3 linked regions of the Neurospora crassa OR74A genome follow. The protein of the gene in region 2 interacts with the protein of the main gene of each other region in a pairwise test. Links are inferred from orthologs where the notes say so. Each region holds a gene or a part of one and is shown on either strand. Other genes may lie near its edges.

Region 1 (3,445 bases), on a different chromosome or scaffold from region 2:
CATTGTAAGTTACCAGTCTACTGCAGGAACATTACATAGATGCTTTAGATAATGCAGTATTTGAGTACTGGTTACCCCCTCTCTGGTCATCCAACACAGGAATTAACATCTCCAAAGATACCGCCAAGTGATACACCTTGCTTCCACTTCCTGACCGTACCCAGACTGAAGGCCGGAAAAGGGACATCGGAATCCCCACATCCCCTTTGAGCCCGAATTCGAAGGAAGACGGAAACGTGTTTGGCCTTGTTTCCAGTGACTATACAAACTCCAGGGCCTTGTTTTCTCATATTCATCCTTTGTGATGTTTCATGTCATTTGCCTTACCCGAAGCAAACTGACAGGGTCGAGCCCTTTTTCGAGTAGAGCGAAAAGGGATTCATGACGAATATTGTACTGCTGAGTACTGGGCAAACAACGTATACTTGGAAACACGCCTCCGTCACGCAAGAGAAGGGGACGGAAGAAAGATCAGGCGTGGAACCCAATCTAGCGTAGTTGGTTAAGACACACGTCCGGAAAGCCTTTCAGTTCCCGGTAAATGATATGTCCAAATTCATATCTTATCAAGACTCCGACGCCTGCCTGGATTATAACACATGCGATTTCCCTGTAATAGATGGTATATGACGCCTTCTCCGTGGACGGATTTGTCCCGCGATTTCTATTCGACTATGCCCCATGATGTTTGACCTCCAAACCCAGTTTCCCTCGTCATCATTCCGTACCACCTCTACTCAATATTTTAGTTGGCAAGGATGGTCCGGACAAGCTCTGTTTGCGTCGTACACATATTGTTAGTCGAGACTCCTAGGTTTCACGCAAAGGGCAAGCAAACAGCAAGTGCTGAGGCTGACATACCGGTATAGTTCACCTGGCCGGAGCTAGTATCAACGGCCTTGAGGAGCTCGTCTACCTCCTCGTCCGTCATCTTCTCGCCAAGGTTTGTCAAGATGTACTTGAGCTGTCCAACGCCGATGAAACCCGTCATGTCCTTATCAAACACCTGGAAACCGCGGCAGTACTCTTCGGGCTCGCCGGGATCACGGAAGCCACCTGGCCGGTTGAGGACGCGCTGGAAGGTCTCGAAGTCGACTGTCGGATGAGAAGGGCATCTGTTAGTAACTAATCTCAGATGAACTACTTGTTTCCGCTCGGGTATTACTCACAATCACCACCAACGTTCTTCTCGAGCTCGCGGATCTCGGCGAGCGTGGGGTTCTGGCCGCAAGCGCGGAGCAGGTCACCCAAGCTGTCGAGGGCAACACGGCCGTTGCCGCGCTTGTCGAACAGGGAGAACGCCTCCTTGTAGTTGGTAGAAGCCTGACCGTCGAACTGGTTAGATGCCATGATTCCTGAGTTGCGCTGTCGCAATGAAATGTTCTTTCAAGAATGCGGGTATGTAGTAAATCGCGGTAGGTTGAGCGTAAGCAAAAGCGCTGGCTTTGCGATCGTGCTAGAGTCGGCAATCGAGAGGACGAGGGCGATGGTTGCGAGAACAAGGCGCAGAAACCCAAGCGGCAAGGGAGCAGCGATGCGATCGAAAGTTGGCAAAATGAATGGTGTTTTTTTGGTCTGTGATGGATGGATGCCGAAGCAGGACCTGGCAGCTCAACGCTCAAGCCGGGCGCAGGCGCAGGCGCATTTTACAGGTAGTGCTCCGATTCAACGCAGAACGCTGCGGCTTCCAAGGTTGTGGCACCTTGTGCCTTTGTTGTCATGGGCAACCGCGGGGTTCCTGGCTCTTGCTTTCGCATGCTTTCTGTTTCCGTGCGTCGGGGTTGGGACTTGGGATGGAGGGATGGAGAGGGGCGCGCGCGCGTGCCAGTGCCCGCGGCGGATGAACAGGGACAGGTCCACTTACCATTGTGTCTCAGGGGGGGGAATGTCGTTTGAATGCGCAAAAGAGGACGCAAGGGCTAGTCGATGCAAGTACGCTGGCTGATGGATTCGATGCGAAAGATGATGCTATTCAGAAGAACGGTCAAGAAGCGAACCAAGGCTAGATGCAAAAGGAGTGGGCGATCGATTTGGGCTTCCCTTCCCGCCGCGAAATGAGCTGCGGACAGGGAGTTGCGCTGACTGGTCTGTGCCATTACGCAGTACCCGACCTTATGCGCCCGCATCCCGGTCGCGGTGGCAGCCAATGGAGGGCAACCACCCACTGGCACTGGTGACAACTCGCGATACAGCAGCACTGCATGCCCGCTAGCTCAATCGAGAGAGACATCTACTGACAGAGAGCACCTTGGTTACGCAAGGGGGCCGGTGATACTGCCCGGATAGCAGGTTCAACGTCAGCCACCACCACTGTACAGTATCGTCTCTTCACCACACTTAATTGTACACTACCTTTCCAGTTCATCGTCTCTTCGCCATCAACAAAACGGTTCCCCAAATAGCATCAACCTCGATTTCGGCCCATCGATCCCCCGCCGCTTTCCATTCCGGCACCGCAGCAACAACCTCGTCAAACATCAAGTCAACAATGTCGCCCTCTCCTCCGTCCGCCCTGCACTTCATCTGGGGATGGGCGCTTCCCCAACCACTGAAGGCACTGAACGTGCGAATATAGCTCGCCAACTCGCCCAACTTGAGCCTCCGACGCAACCAAGTGGCCTCTTCCGGAGCATCGCTAATGTCGCCCGTCTCACGATTGGGATCCCAAGCAATACGGACCACATGTTCCCATTCCCTCTCGGGAGGGACCACCTCCCGCAGTGAATCCCGTAATATGTTCCGGCCGGGTTGTTCCCAAAAGCACATCATGCTTTCCACGCCCGGCACCGGCTCTGTCTCGCCGTAGATGAACCTGTCAAAGATGGGCGTTGTTTCCGGCCGCCCAACGATGATGTGGTCCTTGTAACCCCAGAAAGCCAGGGTTCCGCCGCGCTTCACGACCCGTGCAAGTGCTGGCCAGACCTTGGAGTAGTCAAACCAATGCGCCGCTTGGCCAGCAACCACACAGTCAACGGCATTGTCGTCAAGGAAAGAAAGGTCCTCGGCTCCGCCTTGCTTGAACGTAATCTTGGAGTTGTCGCCGGTTAGCTTGCGAGCCTGTTCAATCATGCCGGCCGAAGGATCAAGGGCGATAACACGGTTGAAATAGGGAGCGAGTGCGCGCGCCACTAAGCCATGTCCGCAGCCAAGGTCTAGCAGTGTTCCAGCTGCCGGCGAAGACGACGATGGTGATGGGGAGGAAGGGGCCTCTTTGCCGTGAAATCTCAACACCCGGTCGTAAAGAACCGAGGGATATGAGGGCCGAAAGGCAGCATACCCAGCAGAGGAGAACGTCGAGCGGCTATCGTGGAAACATGTCAATGATTACAGTAAGCAATGCGCCAATGCTGTCAGTAGGCAAGTATGTAAACAAGAGGTGGAGACTTACCCGAAGATGGACATTCTCAAAGACCACCCAAACAAACGCACCAAATCACAAACAGTG
Region 2 (5,212 bases):
TCCCGGTCGAGCTGGGGCAACAGTCAGTCGTCTGTGACTTTGTAAAAAGTTTCTTGTATCGCGCATTTTGCGTTCCGATCCCTCACCATTATCGTCAACATGTTCCTGGTGTATGTATGCATTGATCGGAGGGACGGATCGATGGGAGGACAACGGACAGTCTGGCGGTTGTATAGTTGGGGGTCGTTATAGCTTTGTGGATTGATTTGTTTAACTTGGAGAAAAAAAAGGTTGGGATACTGAAGTGTTGGTTGGGGGCGTGAGGAGAGGAGCCAAGGTGAAGAAAAAAAAGAGAGGGAAAGAAAGAGAAAATCAAAGGGGGAGAGGATTGACCGATCTCAACTGTTTCTCCTTCTCCTCTCATGTTTATCTATCTACCTTTGTCTCTTTGATGTAATGTTTATCTTTAGTGTTTGATTATCCATTTTCTTTTCCCCATCCCCCCCTTCCTTCTTTTAGCTTCTTCCCCTTCTTCTTCACTACCTACCTTTCTTGCTTTCTTATCATCTTATTCGTCCGTCCTACCATTCATTCATTCACGCGCTCGCGTCCTTGTGCTGCTTCTGCTCTTGTATATACTTTTCACTTTTCCATCCTTCTTTCTACACGTGTTCCTGGATGTATGTGCGTATCACTGTTAGACCATTTTCCATCTTCTATTGTTCTCGCATCGTGTGCATCTGTTATACATCTTTCTGCTTTTCTTTTTTTTCTTGCATTGCCTGGACATTGCTTTATAGAGGTGAGTGGCAGAGAGAATGATGAGATTGGTCAATCGCAGCAAGACTTTGGAAGAAGCTACGGAGGGGGGTGGGGGGAAGAAAAGAGGAAAAGAGGATATCAGGCTGTTGAGCTATAGAGAGCATATATCATACCACAGCATACCCTACCATGACTACATGATCGATAAAATGTAGTGCGATGCAGCCTTTACTTTGGATCTTCTTAGCTTGAGTATCACAACAACTCGGTTTCAACAAATAAGTATGAATGAGGGAAAGAAAAGAAAGGAAGAGTGATATAACCTAGGCTACAATGAAAAGAAAACCCAATAAAGTTCTTTGGTGGTATCAATCAAAAAGGTAAAAATAAAAAAAATCTCACAACCTTCTCCAAACCGAATAACAAAGACAAACATCAACACTGGTAATCCTCATAAGACACCGTTTGTCCGTCCATCCGTCCATGCATTCAAATGCAAAGCGATAGACTGTGTAGAGAGTAAGTAAGTAACCCAAGCCAGCCAGCCAGCCGGCTGAGAGAGATATCAATGCATGCCATCCAATGCCATCCTGTGCTCTCTCTTCCCTCCCCTGACGTAAAAAGTTCCCCTCCTCCTCCTCCTCCCAAATCTTCCATGATACTCTCTACACTTCGACTCTCACTTACTTCTTCTAATAACCCCCTCCCCTCCCCTTTCCCGCACCCTACTCACTTACTGAGTCCGATAGAACTTCTTGTACAACAAATGCAACAACAAATTCACGTTCAGCCTCAGCTGCCCCTCAAACAAATTCATAAACTGATGCGCCTCAAATTGCGCCTGTAGCAAGTCCTCGATGGGCACCAGGGCGCTGGCACCGGGCATCTGGATGTGGCCGCGGCTGCCCTCAAGACTAAAAATGCCGACCTCGTCGCACGAGATGGTGATGTTGATTTGACCCCAGTCGCGCTCGGGGATGCCCGTCCACGAGACCAGCACGCCCTTGTCCGAGAGGGCGCGGGCCGAGTACTTGAAGGAGCCGAACTTGGGGACGCGGCCGGAGCGCTCGAGCTCGCGCTGGTGGTTGTATTGCTTGGTGAAGGGGAGAAGGAAACGTTTCTTGCTGTAGGTGGGGGGTAAGTAAGGACTTGTTAGCATGCGAACCACCAGAGATGGGAGGAGACATTGGTGATGGTGATGATGTACGTACCCCTTCTTGTTCTGCAGCGTAGCCATGGCTTGCTCGATGTAATCATCGTAGCTCTTGCGCTGTTGCTCCAGATACTTTGCCTTCTCGTGAAGATTGCCGAGTGTCTGACGGACACCCTCGAGCTCTCTCTGTCTCTGAACCCTTCTCCTGCTCTTTGTGCGAATGTCCAGCGCAATGGCGTTGAGGATATCCTGGTAGTAGTTTTGCTTGGAGATACGACCCATCTGCTCCAACCTGAGGATGTTCTCGAGTGCTGTCCTCTTTAGGTCGTAGTAACTCATGCGCGTAACATCAATCATGTTCGCCTCCGAATAAGCGCCTCGGGTGTTCGAGTCGTCACCAAAGTCTTCGCGCAGAACTGTCCTCCACTTCTGCTCATCCTCCGGGGTAATTGGCTTGACAAGAATCTCAAGCAGGTTGTTACCCGTTTGCACCCGGATGATGTACAGAATGCACCTCTTGGTCTCCATAAACAGCCCCTTAGTCTCAGCTTCTGGATCCTCCATATCGTGCAGTTTGGGAGTCAGGAACAGCTGAATATCAGCGGCCCCGCCTGCGGTCATCTCATTCTCATTATTCTTGGCGTTACCGAGATCTTGAATGATCTCGCGCAGCATATCATCTCTGCTCGGGCACAGATAAGGCAACTCGGCAGCGATGAGATTGTGGATGGAAAAGATATCCGCCATCTTGATGTACAGTGTTGGCTTGTTCTTGGCGTAGAGATCGTTGAACTCGTCAATGTCGAATGTCTTCTCAGCGTCAGGTACATCGATAAGGGAATTGGTGATGTGAGCCAAGCGCTCGATTGCTTCGGCGACGAAAGCATTGAGAGGCTGGAGATAGATGTTCTCTCCGCCAAATGGTCTGCCTGATGCAATCTGGCCCAGGACTTTTGCAACCTCGCCGAGGTTACGCTTCTGGAGGGGACTCATTTGCTTTTCCGTGACTCCATATGACTCTGGGCCAAGGAGAGCAGGTTGGAGGTAGAAGCGCCAGAGCCAGTTGCTTACAAACTGGAGCACATTTTGCGGGTGGTCCCTCTGGAAATGCTGGCAGAGAGCTTCGTACGTTTGCCGGCACACAAATCTCAGGCCGTAGGGCATGCGGGGAAGCAGGTCCTCCAGGGCAAGGAGAAACTGATCGCAGATCTCTCGGAGATCCCGCAGATGATCAATGAAGAGCTCTCTGGTTTCAGGATCCTTGATGGCAACCTCACGAGGGACATCCAGAGGTCTTTGGCTGGGCCGACCGGTCCTCAACTCCTCATTGTTGATAGCAGACCGGTAGATCTGCATGGGGTCGCTTTCAAGATCCAGCGCTGGATCCTCGATAATGTTGTCTCTGATGAGGGGTCCCAAGAGATCTCTGAGATATTTCCTATCACGAGGGGATCGGGTGTAATTCTGGAGCAGCTTGGTCCAGAAGTAGTTGCCCCTCAGATAATCCTGCAGAGCGGCACATGCTTCGACTTCTTCCCTTATCGACCTGGAAATAAGCTTCAATAAGTAGTATTCCTCTCTCCGCTTTTGCGCATAGCCGAACAGCCCCATCATCAAGTGTTCAATCCGCTTTAACTCCTTTTCCGTTATTCCTTGCTCGCGGATACGCCTGAAGAGCTTAGCAAGGTACTGAGGTTGCGTCTGAAGGGTGAAGAACAGCTGCTGGTAGGACTCAAGCTTCTTGCGGGAACTCTTATTCAAAGCCTTGAGGTCAAACTGATTAGCATTTGAAATAACACTGTTGGCGAGAAGGCTGTTTGCGTGTCCGCCATAGTTGTGCTGATGTCTGACAACTTCATCAAGGGTAATTTTATTCTTGACGAGAAGTGCGATCTTGATGTCTAGCTGGTCGATGTATTGTTCCAGCATCTCGTTTTGCCGAACTTGTTGGACAACAGTCTTTCGTAGGCGCTCAAACTCTACCTCCTCATTGAAGTCAAAATCGCTGTCGTTCAGAAGATGGACAAAGTTCTTGACGGCGTTGACTGGTGGGTTCTTTCCAGATGTCAAGCTCTTGTAGGCTTCACCCTGAAGCTTGGCTCGTACGAAACTCTGAATCTTGACAACCTTTTGCATGTTCTCCCGGAAGAAGCGCTTCTTCTCCTCGTACTTGGCTCTGACCACGAAAGCCTTGGCAGCAGCCTGGAACGCCGCTACAGACTCCTCGTTTTGTTCCAGTTCATCCAAGACCATTGCAACATCGCTCCGAAGCAACATGGCCCGAGCAAGGGCTTGCAGTTCGGTGATCTCCTCGGTATTGACTGCAAGCTCATCCAACAACTCGCCACACTCCTTGCGATAAAGACATCCGCGGATGTGTGCTTGAAGGTCAATGATGTTTGGTGTCTCCTGAGTAAGAGCATCCAGATCGTCCGATAACCTCATACGTTCAAGCATACCTCGGACCATAGACTGAAGATCAATGATGGCATCCTCCGTTTCCCCGATGCTTTCAAGCTGCTCTGATATGTCCCTCCGCACTGCCGCTGCCCTAATGTGGGACTGAAGAAGGCCCATCTCAGTTGAATGCTTCTGCAACTCTTCTTTAGTAGCGTCGACGTCGGACCTAGCAACCTTGCCGCGGAAGGCAGCTTGAATAGCTGTCCATTGTGGCGCAAAGCCTTCAAGCGCTTGTAGCTGGGCATCGACCTCAGTTCTTGCTTTCATGGCCCTTACAGCAGCCTGAAGACTAGTGATGGCTTCGATGTTGCTCTCCAAGGATGCTCTTTCTTCCTCCAGATTCTTCCTCAATATCATACCACGAACTGCGCTCTGAAGTTGAGCAATCGTAGCGCCTTCGCTCTCTGTCTTTTCATGTTGCACAGCGAGCTGCTTTCGAGCCAGAAATCCTCGAAATGTTGCTTGAATGTCTCGCAGGGGTCCCGCTGCCGTCTCCAACTGTGAATGCTGCTCCCGAATCACATTGCGGACCTTGGCCGCTCTGACCATACTTTGGAGTTTCAAGACCACATCCTCGTTGCCCTTGAACTGCTCCTCGGTTTGTGTCTGCTGGCGACGAGCAAGATATCCACGCGCCGCTTTTTGTAGCTGAATCGTGAAACATGTTTGTGCATATTGCTGACGAGCGATAAATCCACGAGCTGTCTTCTGCAACTCGATCGCAAAACTTGTTTGTGCCTTTGTTTCTGCATGTCGATAGCGGGCGAGGAAACCGCGCGCTGCGCTTTGAAGCTGGACCGCGAAATTCTTCATCTGGAGCCTGTAATCCGCCACCTGGCGAGCCCAGTCACCACGAATACGAGACTGGAGATCAATGATCCAGTCTTCATTATCCCA
Region 3 (4,131 bases), on a different chromosome or scaffold from region 2:
AAGGCTGAGAAGCGCGGAGGAAACAATGCGGATGGCGGTAGACACTAGACAGTAAGAATACCTACCCATTGTGTCAGCGAAAAGCCATCTGTGGTTTCTGCCACTGGTTTGCAATCCTGGCCATGTTTGATCATAAGGAAACGGCTGCTTGTTACTCGGTTCCTGAAGCGGTGAGGATCGCTTAGTTGGATTCGGTAGGTATGGCCGCCTCCCCTTCAAGTCAATAAGACATTACGGTGGATCCGATACCTTGACGGCTAGCAATTCCCCTTTTCTCCTTGGCTTGCACGTATCTCACGACCAACGAAAGGGCAGCTGAAGGTGCTCAGAAATACAGAACGCTGTTTGAATTTTGATGATCTCTTCATCCACGATAACCTCGAATTTCCCAGTGGTGACTAAATCTTGCTGCTAAAAGTGTAGTAAATAGAGAAAGGGTGTTGGCAAGATCAAGAAGCCCGCATACTTGACCGCGCCTATCCCACGCATTCGCAGCCGTCGCCGCCCACCCAGAAAACAGAAAAAAAAGGCCATTATTTATGTCTTCTAGTAGAGAAAAGAGACGCCAGCCCCCTTCTGACCACGCTCGCTACTTTTTGTATAAGAGAGACCTGTGCAGAATACACGCGCAATGCAGACATGCTACTTGACGCAGATAGGGGTGTTATGTCCCCAGTTGGCGCTGGCTCGTGACAGTCGTGGATTTGTCCATTTATTGAACTACATACATGGTGTAAGCCGACGACGCTCCGCTTCCAACTGCAACAACCACCTCTCAAGGGCACCCACTTTAGAAGCACTTGCGGTGCACGATCGAGGGACCGCTCTCGTCGTACTCCTGCTTGGAGATCCACATCTGCTGGAAGGTCGAGAGCGAGGCGAGAATGGAACCACCGATCCAGACGGAGTACTTGCGCTCGGGAGGAGCAATGATCTTGACCTTCATGGAAGAAGGAGCAAGAGCAGTGATCTCCTTCTGCATACGGTCGGAGAGACCAGGGTACATGGTGGTACCACCAGACTAGTGACGATTCTGTTAGCGGACCTAGCCTATACTGCCATCTCCACAGCGAACGGGGACTTACCATGACAATGTTGCCATAGAGATCCTTCCTGACGTCGACATCGCACTTCATGATGGAGTTGAAAGTGGTGACGTGGATGCCGCCAGATTCGAGACCAAGGACGGAAGGCTGGAAGAGAGCCTCAGGGGCACGGAAACGCTCGTTGCCGATGGTGATGACCTGACCGTCGGGAAGCTCGTAGGACTTCTCGAGAGAAGAGCTCTGGGCAGCGGTCTGAATCTCCTGCTCGAAGTCGAGAGCGACGTAGCAGAGCTTCTCCTTGATGTCACGAACGATTTCGCGCTCGGCGGTGGTGGAGAAGGTGTAACCACGCTCAGCGAGAATCTTCATGAGGTAGTCGGTAAGATCACGGCCAGCCATGTCAACACGGGCAATGGCGTGGGGAAGGGCGAAACCCTCGTAGATGGGGACGACGTGAGTGACACCGTCACCGGAGTCGAGGACGATACCGGTGGTACGACCGGAGGCGTAGAGAGAAAGGACGGCCTGGATGGAGACGTAGAAGGCGGGGGCGTTGAAAGTCTCGAAAACGATCTGTGTCATCTTCTCACGGTTGGACTTGGGGTTGATGGGAGCCTCGGTAAGAAGGACGGGGTGCTCCTCGGGGGCGACACGGAGCTCGTTGTAGAAGGTGTGATGCCAAATCTTCTCCATGTCGTCCCAGTTGGTAACGACACCGTGCTCGATGGGGTACCTGAGAGTAAGGATACCACGCTTGGACTGAGCCTCATCACCGACATACGAGTCCTTCTGGCCCATACCGATCATGATACTGGCATGTTGTCAGTTTTTTCTGAAAGTCTTGGAGTGTTGCGCGCACGGGACGCGGGGGGGAAAGTGGCATGCATACCCATGATGACGGGGACGACCGACGATGGAAGCTATCGCGACATGTTAGCATGGCTGGGACGTTGGGTCTTGGCGGGGAGGCAAGTAGCTCTGCTGACACGTTGCCCGTCTCAAGCAAGAGCACCTCGCGGGAATAGTGGGAACACTTACGGAAAACAGCTCTGGGGGCGTCATCACCGGCGAAACCGGCCTTGCACATACCCGAACTGGGCGGTTGTTAGCTACTGTCCATCGTCATTGTTCACCATGTAGAACGGGCTATGGGGGGGCCGCGAGGCGTCGATTGCGGGAGGAATATGACGCTTCTCCTAGGAGTCGGTGAGGCGCAGGCGAAAAGGAGGGGAAAGCTTACCCATTGTCGATGACGAGGGCGGCAACTTCTTCTGTTGGCGGGAACGCATGAATCAGCTTGTGCCCATGATAACCAGTAGAGGGAGATGGCGATGGTAGAAGTCCGATCCGCCGGCGACCAGCTCGCCAGCGCGGGCAGACTGGGCAGGAATGTGGACATGTTGTTACGTACCCTCCATTGTGATAGATTAGGTGGTGACGAAAAGTGTCGGATTAAGCAAAAGGTACAGAAGAAGAGTTATTAAATACGCTCGACGATTCCCGGATCGATGGAGCGATGATGCTTTGGCTGAGAGAGGTGTTGCCGAAGGACGTAGAGACGTTGTTTGGGCAAAAATTTGGATGTTGTTCGGTAGGCGGAAGAGTTGGAAAAGGGGAGGTGAATTTAAGGTCAGCTTTGGGAGTACGAGGCGGCGGGTGGATTGAGGGGGGTAAAGGTAGGGGAGGTAAGGGGATGGGATTGCTGTGGTGCCAGGTGCGAGGGAACGGATGGCGGACTGGGGGGGGGAGGGGAGGGGACGGTTGATTCCATTGGGGACGGGACTGGGCCGGGACTGTCTGCACTGGGCATTGCTGGCTGCTAGGTCCAGTTGGTTGGACTGGGCCTGGTCACCTCACGGCGTGGTTGTGGGACTTGGCGGCGGAGGAGGAGGAGGAGGAGGAAGGAAAGGCGGGCAAGGACGACACCGATGTCACTGAGTGGTACTGACAGTGAGTGCCCGGCCGACTTCCAGGTCCCAACAAGCATTCATTTCATCCTCGCCGGGCTGCTGCGCTGCCTGCACTCCATGTTGCCCGGTTCACGACGGGATGGATCACCACAGTAGACTACAAGTACAAACCTAGAGGTAACTGCGCTGCCTTCTTCCCAGGCCGTCCCCTCTCCCTCGCTGTTCGCTTTCCACACCCCTACTCTAAATCATCAAATCACTGGCCGCACCGCCCCCTTGCCCTCTGGCATCTTCGTGGACAAGTTGTCAAGTCGCAGTATCATGCCTGATTCGAGGTGGCTCAAGGTGGATTCCTGAGTGGCCTGCGATCCGTCTGGAAAGTGGGTAGGAGACACCGCCTAATTTTGGGAGGGCAAAGGGGATCTTCCTGCCGCCAACACACTTTGGGAGGCTTCCGCACCTCGGAGGCGACGTCTAGGTTGACATCAATGCCCGTCTGGCAACTGGCAGCCCGTTCAAGATCCCCTTTGATTTCAGTCTACCTAACTACATTGGATACCTACACGACCTGACTTGTATACTATGTAAAAGGATATCATATCGCAGCACGGCCGGGGTCGTCACCGCTGCGTGCCGTTCGACGGGTGCAGCTAGACAGACGGTTCAGTTGTACGTAGCGTAGGTAGTACCTAGTGAGCACGGTGGGAGCGTGGTGCGTGGCTGGGTCCGCCCCCGACGTTGTGTCAGCGTTCAGTCTTCTTCAACCTAATGTCCCTCCCCTGCGTCGTTGCCGTCGTACCTGGTCGCTGTCCCTTGTCGTACCCCGTTCATTACTTGTTTATTACTCCTCCTGGAGAACCGCGATTGCAATTCCAGAAGATCCAATGTCTTCTTTACCGTCTCTTCTGTTGGAGCCTGGCTGATCACGATCTCTTGGAGCTTGTCCGGATCGCAATTCCCATGGCCCCGGGGCCCGAGTGTCTTGAAGGCTCCATGGCCGCCCCGGTCCGGGATCCGACGGAGATAGATATGTAGCCTACGGTATGCACCACTTGGGTCCATACGGTACGGGGACCTCCAGCAGCGGTGTCATTTCCAAGGAAACGCCATCTCATTGGGGATGAGAACGAGGTATTGCCACAGTCCAACACCACCACCACAACCACCACCACCCA

What was found.
Region 1: the proteins of NCU03116 (region 2) and NCU06617 interact in a two-hybrid assay, tested with the Schizosaccharomyces pombe proteins (2 studies listed by BioGRID). The link is inferred for Neurospora crassa OR74A from reciprocal best matches to the Schizosaccharomyces pombe genes rng2 and cdc4.
Region 3: the proteins of NCU03116 (region 2) and act interact in binary tests that used the Schizosaccharomyces pombe proteins (3 or more experiments, as listed by UniProt). The link is inferred for Neurospora crassa OR74A from reciprocal best matches to the Schizosaccharomyces pombe genes rng2 and act1.

The regions. Positions count from the first base shown.
Region 1 is NC_026504.1:1,814,779-1,818,223, reverse strand, and holds NCU06617 (myosin regulatory light chain cdc4), read right to left. Parts: upstream 1,999-3,445; 5' UTR 1,868-1,998; coding exon 1,865-1,867; intron 1,324-1,864; coding exon 1,170-1,323; intron 1,096-1,169; coding exon 862-1,095; intron 775-861; coding exon 746-774; 3' UTR 501-745; downstream 1-500. Other genes in the region: NCU06616 (S-adenosylmethionine-dependent methyltransferase), read right to left, coding at 2,362-3,301, 3,389-3,402. UniProt on the Schizosaccharomyces pombe protein: Involved in cytokinesis. Required for the formation and function of the contractile ring.
Region 2 is NC_026501.1:4,613,201-4,618,412, forward strand, and holds the end of NCU03116 (Ras GTPase activating protein), read right to left. Parts: coding exon 1,914-5,212; intron 1,827-1,913; coding exon 1,436-1,826; 3' UTR 919-1,435; downstream 1-918. UniProt on the Schizosaccharomyces pombe protein: Component of the contractile F-actin ring; required for its construction following assembly of F-actin at the division site.
Region 3 is NC_026505.1:5,085,439-5,089,569, reverse strand, and holds act (actin, variant), read right to left. Parts: upstream 2,801-4,131; 5' UTR 2,465-2,800; coding exon 2,458-2,464; intron 2,318-2,457; coding exon 2,287-2,317; intron 2,141-2,286; coding exon 2,085-2,140; intron 1,967-2,084; coding exon 1,936-1,966; intron 1,858-1,935; coding exon 1,086-1,857; intron 1,022-1,085; coding exon 791-1,021; 3' UTR 790-790; exon of another isoform or gene 721-789; 3' UTR 323-720; downstream 1-322. Other genes in the region: NCU04174 (hypothetical protein), read left to right, coding at 1-48. UniProt on the Schizosaccharomyces pombe protein: Actins are highly conserved proteins that are involved in various types of cell motility and are ubiquitously expressed in all eukaryotic cells.